Ovis aries: one gene and its partners. The protein of the gene in region 1 purifies or fractionates together with the protein of each later gene. This does not show direct contact. Links are inferred from orthologs where the notes say so. Each region holds a gene or a part of one and is shown in the gene's direction. Other genes may lie near its edges.

Region 1 (3,568 bases):
GGCACCCTTTCCTTCTGCCAGGACCTGTGTTTCCTCAGGGTCTGGAGAGGGGCAGACCAGGAGCTACAAAACAGTCCAGGCCCCTAACCCTAACCCTAACCCTGTCCGTGTCTGACCCAATCCTACAGATCGCTGACTTTGGCCTCTCCAACCTCTACCACCAAGGCAAGTTCCTGCAGACGTTCTGCGGGAGCCCCCTCTACGCCTCGCCGGAGATCGTCAATGGAAAGCCCTACACAGGACCAGAGGTGAGCACCTGGCCTCCTAATCTCTTGGCTTAGACCTTGAGAGAGGGATGAGCTGGTTTTCTAATGATTCCCTTTCTCAGATTGCAAGACTCACTTCCCCACCAAAGCAGTGCCTAGCCAGTTCTGTAGCTGGGAGTAGCAAAACTGGCATGAGCGCTCAAGTCCTCTGACCTCTGACCCCTGACCCCTGACAGCGTGGCTCTGTGCCCCACACCTTCTGCATTCCCGTTGCCTTTCCTAGCCCCCGGCCAGCCTCCCCAAGCAGAGGCAGGTGACGCCTCTCTCCATGACTTCCAGTCCCTTCTACAGTATTGTCCTCTTTGCCCCTGGGTGCTAGAAGGAGGTGGTCCCTGGATGCTCTGGGCTCTGGGTTCCCCCTCATGGGTACTGAAGGCGAGCCTGGAGCCATTCGCCCTGCGGCATGAGGACCTCCTGGCTGACCCCGTCTCTCCCTCAGGTGGACAGCTGGTCCCTGGGCGTTCTCCTCTACATCCTGGTGCATGGCTCCATGCCCTTTGATGGGCAGGACCACAAGACACTGGTGAAACAGATCAGCAACGGGGCCTACCGGCAGCCTCCTAAACCCTCTGGTGAGTGAGGGATGTGGGCATTCCCATCCAGACCCTGGGTGTCCTTTGCTAATTCCTGATGCAGGAATTAAACAGTGACGCAAAGTGAAGCTTCCCTGGTGGCTCATACTGTAAAGAATTTGCCTGCAAAGCTGGAGACTGGGGTTCAATCCCTGGGTCTGAAAGATCCCCCCGAGAAGAGAACGGCAGCCCACTGCAGTATTCTTGCCTGGAGAATTCCGTGGACTGAGGGGATTGTCTGCAGTTGCAGCCTGGTGGGCTACAGTCCGTGGGGTTGCAAAGAGTCAGACATGACTGAGCGATTTTCGCTTTCACTAAGTGAAGATGGCAACCCAGTGTAGCTGCTCTCATCTCCCTGCCTCCTGTGTCTGTGACCTGCAAGGAAGGAAGGGCTAAATCTTCCTTTATGGGCATGCTTATTTGGGAAGTGCTTCCTAAAGCCTAGTCTAGATCCTCTCTGCCACAGTTGTCTCATTGCCTACTGCGTTTGTCCTTAGAAATCTTGTCCTTTCATGTACAATGTGTAAGGTGAGAAGAAGGGTGTGAGGACCTTGGTTTACTCTTGAGCAGCATAGCCTCCACCCCCAGAGGCCTGCATTTCACTGGAGCAAAGGAGCAGACCTGTAAACAGGGCTGTGGTCCTGCGGTTCTGGAGACTGGGGAGCCTGCCTGGGGGCACAGCTGACCTGGGAGGGAGCCCCGTCTTAGCATCCATGGGGTGAGCCAGAAGGGATGCTGTGGGTGCCCGAGCTTGTGGCTACGGAGCTGAAGCCTCTCTCTCCCCTTCTAGATGCCTGTGGCCTAATCCGGTGGCTACTGATGGTGAACCCTACCCGCCGGGCCACCCTGGAGGACGTGGCCAGCCACTGGTGGGTCAACTGGGGCTACACCACCCGTGTCGGGGAGCAGGGGGCCCTGAACGAGGGCGGGCACCCCAGCAGCGACCCCGGCCGGACCTCCGTGGCTCAGTGGCTGTGGCGCTCCTCCCGACCCCTCCTGGAGAACGGCGCCAAGGTCTGCAGCTTCTTGAAGCAGCAGGCGCCGGGCGGCAGGGCCCTCGCCCCTGGCCTGGAGCGCCAGCACTCGCTCAAGAAGTCCCGCAAGGAGAACGCCATGGCCCAGACCTTCCAGGGGGCCCCGGCCACTGATGCCTCCCCTCGCCCTGGGAAGGGTGGCCTCAAGCTGCCGAAAGGCATTCTCAAGAAGAAGACATCAAATCCCGCAGAGGGGGCAACACAGGGCCCTGAGCCCGGCCCCAGTCCCGCCAACCCAGGCCAGGCTGGCCCGCCGCTCCCCAAGAAGGGCATCCTCAAGAAGGCACGCCAGCGGGAGTCCGGCTACTACTCCTCGCCTGAGCCCAGCGAGTCTGGGGAGCTCTTGGATGCCGGGGACGTGTTTGTGAGTGGGGATACGGATGCCGGGAACGTGTTTGTGAGTGGGGATACCATGGAGCACAAGCCCCCTCCAGCCTCGGGGCGGCCGCCGCATCGCAAGGGTATTCTCAAACACAATGGCAAGTTCTCGCACGCGGCCCTGGAGCACACAGCGCCCACCGCCTTCGGCTCTTTGGATGAACTGGCCTCCCCACGCCCTCCAGCCCGGGCCAGCCACCCCTCGGGGGCTGTGAGTGAGGATAGCATCCTGTCCTCTGAGTCCTTCGACCAGCTGGACTTGCCCGAACGGCTCCCCGAGCCCCCTCTGCGGGGCTCTGTGTCTGTGGACAACCTCATGGGGCTGGATGCACCCCCATTGGAGGGCCCCGGAAGCCGAGGCCTGAGGCGCTGGAGGCAGGACCCCCTGGGGACTAGCTGCTTTTCTCTGCTGGACTGCCCGGAGGGGACAGAGGGCGGCCAGCAGGGACTGAGGGTCTGCTCGGAGCTCAGCTGAAGAGGGGGTATTGCCCATGCGGGAAGGCTCTGAGATGCAGCTGGATGCACCCTAAGGGGGAGACTGCCTTCTTCCCTGCCTCCCAGGACCCACATCCCAGCCCAGAAGGCTGAGGTGGTTTCAGTTGAGCCATGGGGAGGGCTGAATGTGGGCAGTGGGCAAGTGAAGTGTGTTGAGGGTTCAATGTCTTCAGCCCCGTGGAACCAAGAAGGTAGCTCTAGAGGGGAAATGAGTACAGAGAAGCAGTGAGGAAGGCCCGTGGCTGAGTCTAGGTTGCCTGTTAATTTCCAGGTTGCCTTGCCCACTGCCCCCTCTGAGGGGGTCGATGCCTTCTTCTTGAGGATGCCTTTGGCAGCTTGAGGCCACCCTTACCAGGGCGAGGGGCGGCGTCCCCCTGGAGGGTCTGGGCTGTGTAGTTCTTACTCTTGGACTTCTTAAACAAAGGCTGGTGCTGCAGCCACTGGGCCACAGAGGCCTGGCCAGGGTCTCTGCCGGCTGCCCGCCCGTGTGCGGGTACAATGTAGCCTGTGCCCTCTCCATAGTAGGGCCACAGAGAGCTGGAAAGAGCACTGTATCAGTGCCTAGCTCCTGTAAAGAGTTAGTTTGTGTGTGATGCCGTCCTGCCAAGGTGGGCTAGAAGCTCTTCATTCACGCACACATTCCCATCTCCACCAACTGTTGCAGGAAGGGGGACCCCTTCCAGGGCCCGAAACTGGGCTCTTGTCTAACACTCAGAAATGAATTGTCCAAGGAGACACATGTGCTGACAAAGCAAGAGATTTTATTGGGAAAGGGTGCCCGGGTGGAGAGCAGGAGGGTAAGGGAACCCAGGAGAGCTGCTCT
Region 2 (3,568 bases), on another chromosome or scaffold:
GTGTCAGTTCTAGGACCCAAGGGCTATTTGTGGGACCACCAACGCTGCAGTTATTAGCAAAATTCCCACCAGTTTAAAATGTATCAGATTAAATGTCAGAAGGTTTATGATAATCTTGAAGTTTGGGAACAATTTGCTGGTGATGGTTGCTGCACCCTCATTTCAGCACCCTGCAGCTAGCCCAGATTTCAAGTTGTGTGTCTTAAGGATTGCATACTGGCAGTATCCCATCCCCTTCCTCTTCCCGCTTTCCCAGTCCAGTCCTCTAACTATCACTTCCCCATGGTCCATTAGTACACTTCACCTCAGCTCAACTTCAGAGCTACAAAAGGAGAGTAAGGTATACCATTAACTGGGAGAAATAGGGTGGGAGTGGTGGGCAGTGAGGTAATCCAGTACTTAAAATAGATTGTAGCATGAATTTCACCACAATCTCAGATAACCGTAATATTTTTGTTCCAGGGTGTGGGATGTAAATACAGGTGAAATGCTGAACACATTGATTCACCATTGTGAAGCAGTTCTGCACTTGCGTTTCAATAATGGCATGATGGTGACCTGCTCCAAAGACCGTTCCATTGCAGTATGGGATATGGCCTCCCCAACTGACATCACCCTCCGCAGGGTACTTGTCGGACACCGAGCTGCAGTCAATGTTGTAGACTTTGATGATAAGTACATCGTTTCTGCATCTGGGGATAGGACTATAAAGGTAATGAGGCATTTTTCAGTAAGTCCCCACCTTAGAGTAGGGGAGTTCATATGGATATCTTCTCAAGGACAATTTTATATTTAACCCTCACTGTAGAATACTTAATATTTATTTAAATCAGATACTAGTTTATGTAATGAATCAGATAGATCATGTGACAATTTGGGTTAGGTTTTTATTCCTGTAAATAATGGTGAGTATGAAAAAGGCAGGGGTAATTTTAGGTTCAAGATTTGTCTACAAGGCGAGATTGACCCCATAAGAGCACATCAACCTGAGGATTTCTCATATGATAGCAACCAGCTACAAATTAGCCCTATATTACTGTGAATTAAACTTGTCATCTGGGATTTGACTTGGATTGGTTTAAGACATTGAATTTCCCCTGCTAGTTCAGTCCCATTTTCTGCTTCCCTAAAACTGCAGTTGCCATAGATTTTACTAATAAAAGCACCAAATCAACTGCCAAATGCCATTTCTGTTTCAGGTGTGGAACACAAGTACTTGTGAATTTGTACGGACCTTAAATGGACACAAACGCGGAATTGCCTGTTTGCAGTACAGAGACAGGCTGGTCGTGAGTGGCTCATCTGACAACACAATCAGGTGAGCAGCAGGTGCCCTTGCCCAGAAGGGATTGCTATTATCCTGCCATTTATTGTTTGTGCACAGACCAAAGGAATTGTCAACTGTGTTCTGTTTATAATAAAACATTTTTCAGTTTTCTGTGGCTTCTTACAGGTTAAAAGTTTGCCCCAAGCAGAGAGACGGCACAGCAAAGCCTTTTGTTGATGTGTTTCCTTCCTGTAATAGTTTTATCACCAGATAGACCTATTTAAAAGGAACTTCTTGAATGAGGAAGTGAGCAAGAGAAATAAAAATGGAGGTTGAAGGCCCTTCTCTAAATTTCTCCTGTCTGCAGTTGATAAGTGCTAATAAACAGCTAAAGGGCTTTTCTCTTTGCCAGTGTTTTTAAAAAAAGAAAATAGATTTGTTCCCCTACTAGAAGTTGTACAATTTTGGGTTTTTTAGCATTACATAATGGGCCAGGGACCTACCAGTCTTCGAAATTATGAACAACTTATGAAGAATCCTCAAATTGAAGTACTTTTCGGTGTTTTCCCTTCATGAAAATGAATGACACACATATGCATAGAATTTGAAAGATTTATCAACCCTCTCCTCTCCTTCAAAGAAGTGCTAAGGGAATGAAAAAGCCATTGAAAAAACGACAGACAGACATTGTTATATCTAAGGAAATTAGCATTCCTAGAAATCATGTGGATTGGTCAGAAGGCATACATAATTTAAATTGGTATATAAAAATTTTTGAGAACTTACTTTGCATTTCTATTATATGAGAAAAACTGTCCTGAACAGTGGGGTGAAAGCTGAGGGTGTCCTCAGTGATAGAGGTACACATATTTTGTGAGAGCAGGATGTCACCGTTCCTGTATCTCATTCTTATTTAATTGTGGTTTCCAGAAATATTATGTTTCTTGGCTTGGCCCTTTCCTTCTTAGGCAACTGTGTACATTAAATTCATCTTTTATATTCCTTGGTGACCCTGATTATAGGTTTATATGAAGCTTGATGCTTTAAAAATATTTACAACATATTTGAACTTAAATCGTACATTTTTCTGCTTCTATGGCAGAAAGTAAATAAATTACACTGAAAGTAATATATTTGTATATGAGTGTTGATTGGTTTTTATATTTTGGATATTTTAAAAGACATACGATGTATGTTGTTATAACATTCCAAGCTTAGAAAAGAATGCATGGAAATTCACTCCACTCAATGTTCTCTTTCAGATTATGGGACATAGAATGTGGTGCATGCTTACGAGTGTTAGAAGGCCATGAGGAATTGGTGCGCTGTATTCGATTTGATAACAAGAGGATAGTCAGTGGAGCCTATGATGGGTGAGCGTGCTGACAGGGTTTTTAAAAGTTCTCTTAATCCCCCCTGCCTTAGAATGTTAAACATAGCCTTTCCTTGTCTCCAAAAGATTATAGATATCACAGAAAGAATCTGATACAGTATTCTTGTGTCTAATCCATGTATTCACATCTCCTTTGTTCACTCTTTTCCAAATAATCTTCGCAGTCATTTAATTATACTTGTTTGCTCATGATTTTCATTAGTATTTTGGATTTTTTTTCATATATTTATTTTGCCCTATAAAGCAGAGAACTGGATAAACCCTAGTATATCAGGATATGGATATAAAATAGTGACTTGTTAATAAAATTGAAATGTTGGAGGATAGTATCTTTGGAGGGGACTTAGTATACTGCTGGCATTTCAGTCACAGTGCATTAAATAATCTTTACTTTCCTTCAGTCTACTTTCCAGTGGTTACAGACTCCGTTCATGTTGTGGATGGATCCCACATCCAGCGACGCTAATGAGCACATAGTATATTCTTACAAGAGAGAACTCATTTATGAAATGCTGTCTGTCATTTCTTCTCATCAGGGTGCCTGATGTGGAGGACAGGAAGGCCACAGTTCAAATATTGGCAGCTTTTTAAAAATATCAGAAACTAACTTACAACTTTATCTTAGTTTACGAGCTGGCTATACTTGATTCATTAAGACGACTCAAGCAGCAGTAAGTGTTAACAGACCCATTTCCTCTGCTTTGAGTCAGCCGTCACTGTCAGACCCTTGGGAAGTTGTTGGGGGTATGACTACATGTTTCAGCTAAGTCCAAGGCTGTATTTTTCTTACTGCCCTGGTTTTGATCTGTACCCTTTTCTTGGGTTTTGTCTGTTACTTACCTTGAGGATACAGGACATAAAATCGATTCATAGAAGGGCTAAACTTTTCTTATTTAAATATTGCTTAT
Region 3 (3,568 bases), on another chromosome or scaffold:
CCTGTCTTTGCATGACATGTTCCCTTGATATCTGTCATTTTCTTGAAGAGATCTCTAGTCTTTTCCATTCTGTTGTTTTCCTCTATTTCTTTGCACTGATCACTGGGGAAGGCTTTCTTATCTCTGCTTGTCATTCTTTGGAACTCTGCATTCAAATGGGTATGTCTTCCCTTTTCTCCTTTGCTTTTCACTTCTCTTCTTTTCACAGCTATGTGTAAAGCCTCCTCAGAGCCATTTTGCCTTTTTTTTTTTTTTTTTAACTTTTTCTTCGGGATGATCTTGATCCTTGTCTCCTGTACAATGTCACGAACCTCCGTCCATATTTCATCAGTCACTCTGTCTATCAGATCTAGCCCCTTAAATCTATTTTTGACTCCACTGTATAAACATAAGGGATTTGATTTAGGTTATATCAGAATGGTGTAATGATTTTCCCCACTTTCTTCATTTTAAGTCTGAATTTGGCAATAAGGCGTTCATGATCTTAGCCACAGTCAGCTCCCAGTCTTGTTGTTTCTGACTGTATAGAGCTTCTCCATCTTTGGCTGCAAAGAATATAATCAGTCTGATTTCAGTGTTGAACATCTGGTGATGTCCATGTGTAGAGTCTTCTCTTGTGTTGTTGGAACAGGGTGTTTGCTATGGCCGGTGTGTTCTCTTGGCAAAACTCTATTAGCCTTTGCCCTGCTTCATTCTGTACTCCAAGGCCAAGTTTACCACTTACTCCAGGTGTTTCTTGACTTCCTACTTTTGTATTCCAGTTCCCTATATGAAAAGGACATCTTTTGGGGATGTTAGTTCTCAAAGGTCTTGTAGGTCTTCACAGAACCATTCAACTTCAGCTTCTTCAGCGTTACTGGTTGGGGCATAGGCTTGGATTCCTGTGATATTGAATGGTTTGCCTTGGAAACAAACAGAGATCATTCTGTCGTTTTTGAGATTGCATCCAAGTACTGCATTTCAGACTCCTTTGTTGACTATGATGGCTACTGCATTTCTTCCTAGGCATTCCTGCCCACAGTAGTAAATATAATGGCCATCTGAGTTAAATTCATCCATTCCAGTCCATCTTAGTTCACTGATTCCTAGAATGTTGATGTTCACTCTTGCCATCTCCTGTTTGATCACCTCCAATTTGCCTTGATACATGGACCTAACATTCCAGGTTCCCATACAATATTGCTCTTTACAGCATCAGACCTTGCTTCTATTACCAGGCACATCCACAACTGGGTGTTGTCTTTGCTTTGGCTCCATCCCTTCATTCTTTCTGAAGTTATTTCTCCACTGATCTCCAGTAGCATATTGGGCACCTACTGACCTGGGGAGTTCATCTTTCAGGGTCCTATCTTTTTGCCTTTTCATACTGTTCATGGGGTTCTCGTGAACAGTGAGAAGTGGTTTGCCATTCCCTTCTCCCGTGGACCACATTCTGTCAGAACTCTCCTCCGTGACCTGTCCGTCTTGGGTGGCCCCACAGCACATGGCTTAGTTTCATTGAGTTAGACAAGCTGTGGTCCATGTGTTCAGATTGGCTAGTTGTCTGTGATTGTGGTTTCAGTCCGTTTGCCCTCTGACGTCCTCTCAGCACCTGCTGTCTTCCTTGGGTTTCTCTTACCTTGAACCAGGATATCTCTTCACGGCTTCTCCAGCAAAGAGCAGCTGCTGCTCCTTACCTTGGACGTGGGGTAGCTCCTCTTGGCCACCGCCCCGACCTTGGACGAGGGGTAGCTCCTCTCAGCCACTCCTGCACCGCGCAGCCACCGCTGCTAGGCTTAGATTTAAAATATAAAATCTAGTTAAAGATAGTACCAAATGTTATTTTCTGTATCAGAAAATCAGTGACCCAAGAGTAAGATGCTGATTTTAAAGTTCATATATGACAACACTTGAATTTTTAGAGAACTTTAAATATGAACAAAAGTATGATGTCCGCCCATAATATTTTTAGTCAGTGCAGGATGACAGTAGTGCAGGGAGTCGTGCTTCTTCACTAGTCATCTCACATCCTAACAAACTGCATTCAGTCCTAATGATGTTACCATAAAAAGATTGACAGTCTAGAGTTTAGCCATGTAACTTCACATATTATCTAGGATGATGTTGAAAGGGGCTAAGAGAAATGATATTACAAGTTTGAGAAAACAAAACTGTGGATAGGAAAACCTTTAAAAAATATATGTTAATATGAGTAGTTACAGTCTAAAAAACTATCAAACTGCATTGTTGAATTTCAGAGTGGGTGTAACCATTTTCTGATAACTCTTTTTTAAAATCCATTAAAATGTTAAACTTAAATGTTTCATTTATGTACATTCATGTGTGATTACATTCATAGGTAATGTATTTCCAACTGACGATTTTTATTTATTACTGTAGATCATACCTCACTCCTGTTAGAGATGAAGAGTCTGAATCCCAAAGAAAAGCAAGATCTAGACAAGCAAGGCAGTCTAGAAGATCAACACAGGTATATTTAATGTGTGTAATACATTAAAGTTCAGAATTATGTTTCCCCTTTTCACATTTCTGTGCAAATTTTGATCTCAGTTTATAGTTTGAATGAATCTTAAAGTATAATAGTTTTAGTAATCCTCCTGTAGCCTTTTAAATATGGCTGTGCTGTTAATATTACATTTTATCTAATTACATTTCATCTGATATTACATATGGCTACTACTGTTAAGGCATGTTTTGTATGCCTTTGTATATCTCTTTTGAGTATTTATGTTTCTATTCCTAATATAGTGTCTGATTCAGAGTATTTGATTAGTGTTAAAAATGAATCATATATGATGTCTTATAATTATTAAATAATTCTGCGTATTGGGAAGGGGTGGGAAATAAGCATTTTATGTTAGGTATTTCAAAAAGCTGATGTGGCAAGTATGAGAAAAATGTCAACTCCAGCTAATTATCATCTTCTTACCTCCTTGCCGTCTGACTCTGTCTCTTATATCTCTTTCTATCTTCCCTTTTGTGCAGTACAGGGGCTCCAAAGTCCAGATTAAACTATTTGATCCTTACCATTAGTTACATTTCAAGTTAAACTGTATTTTGTAGGATCTTGACATGTTTTTTCTGTCTTTGTACCTTTACGTCTTGAAATTCAATCTATCCTTTTGGGGACTTAACCTTCAAAAATTACCACCCTACTGAAATCTTCTCTTTGTGCATCTACATATATAAAAACTCATAAATACATGTAACTTTAATATATAAAGAGTGTATATATTGGCTTTTCCTTCTTTCAACTTCTTACGAATATTTATATTCATACGGTCAGTTCCTGTGCTATCTTGTTAATTTCTTTAATAGACAATTTCTTGCATATATTTTCTTTCTTTCCCAGTACATACTGCTGTGCTTGCTCATGATGATTCTTCATAGAGTGAATATGACTTGCTAAGTAGAAATTCTGTTTAAATTTGCAGACCAGTTCTAAACATGCATATTTGACTTCTAATACATTCATATTTAATTTAATACATTTAATTTTTAACTTAATATTTAGTATATCTTTTTTCGTGTGCAGGGGGTAACATTGACTGATCTTCAGGAAGCTGAA

What was found.
Region 2: the proteins of NUAK2 (region 1) and BTRC purify together in Homo sapiens (co-immunoprecipitation; 3 studies listed by BioGRID and IntAct, counting the BioPlex papers as one, with this or other methods). This does not show direct contact. The link is inferred for Ovis aries from reciprocal best matches to the Homo sapiens genes NUAK2 and BTRC.
Region 3: the proteins of NUAK2 (region 1) and PPP1R12A purify together in Homo sapiens (affinity purification with mass spectrometry; 3 studies listed by BioGRID and IntAct, counting the BioPlex papers as one, with this or other methods). This does not show direct contact. The link is inferred for Ovis aries from reciprocal best matches to the Homo sapiens genes NUAK2 and PPP1R12A.

What each region holds. Positions count from the first base shown.
Region 1 is NC_056065.1:2,924,831-2,928,398, reverse strand, and holds part of NUAK2 (NUAK family SNF1-like kinase 2), read left to right. Parts: intron 1-128; coding exon 129-248; intron 249-705; coding exon 706-838; intron 839-1,628; coding exon 1,629-2,725; 3' UTR 2,726-3,568. UniProt on the Homo sapiens protein: Stress-activated kinase involved in tolerance to glucose starvation. Induces cell-cell detachment by increasing F-actin conversion to G-actin. Expression is induced by CD95 or TNF-alpha, via NF-kappa-B.
Region 2 is NC_056075.1:22,067,522-22,071,089, forward strand, and holds part of BTRC (F-box/WD repeat-containing protein 1A), read left to right. Parts: intron 1-462; coding exon 463-712; intron 713-1,199; coding exon 1,200-1,318; intron 1,319-2,529; coding exon 2,530-2,640; intron 2,641-3,568. UniProt on the Homo sapiens protein: Substrate recognition component of a SCF (SKP1-CUL1-F-box protein) E3 ubiquitin-protein ligase complex which mediates the ubiquitination and subsequent proteasomal degradation of target proteins. Recognizes and binds to phosphorylated target proteins.
Region 3 is NC_056056.1:115,837,664-115,841,231, reverse strand, and holds part of PPP1R12A (protein phosphatase 1 regulatory subunit 12A), read left to right. Parts: intron 1-2,379; coding exon 2,380-2,470; intron 2,471-3,535; coding exon 3,536-3,568. UniProt on the Homo sapiens protein: Key regulator of protein phosphatase 1C (PPP1C). Mediates binding to myosin. As part of the PPP1C complex, involved in dephosphorylation of PLK1. Capable of inhibiting HIF1AN-dependent suppression of HIF1A activity.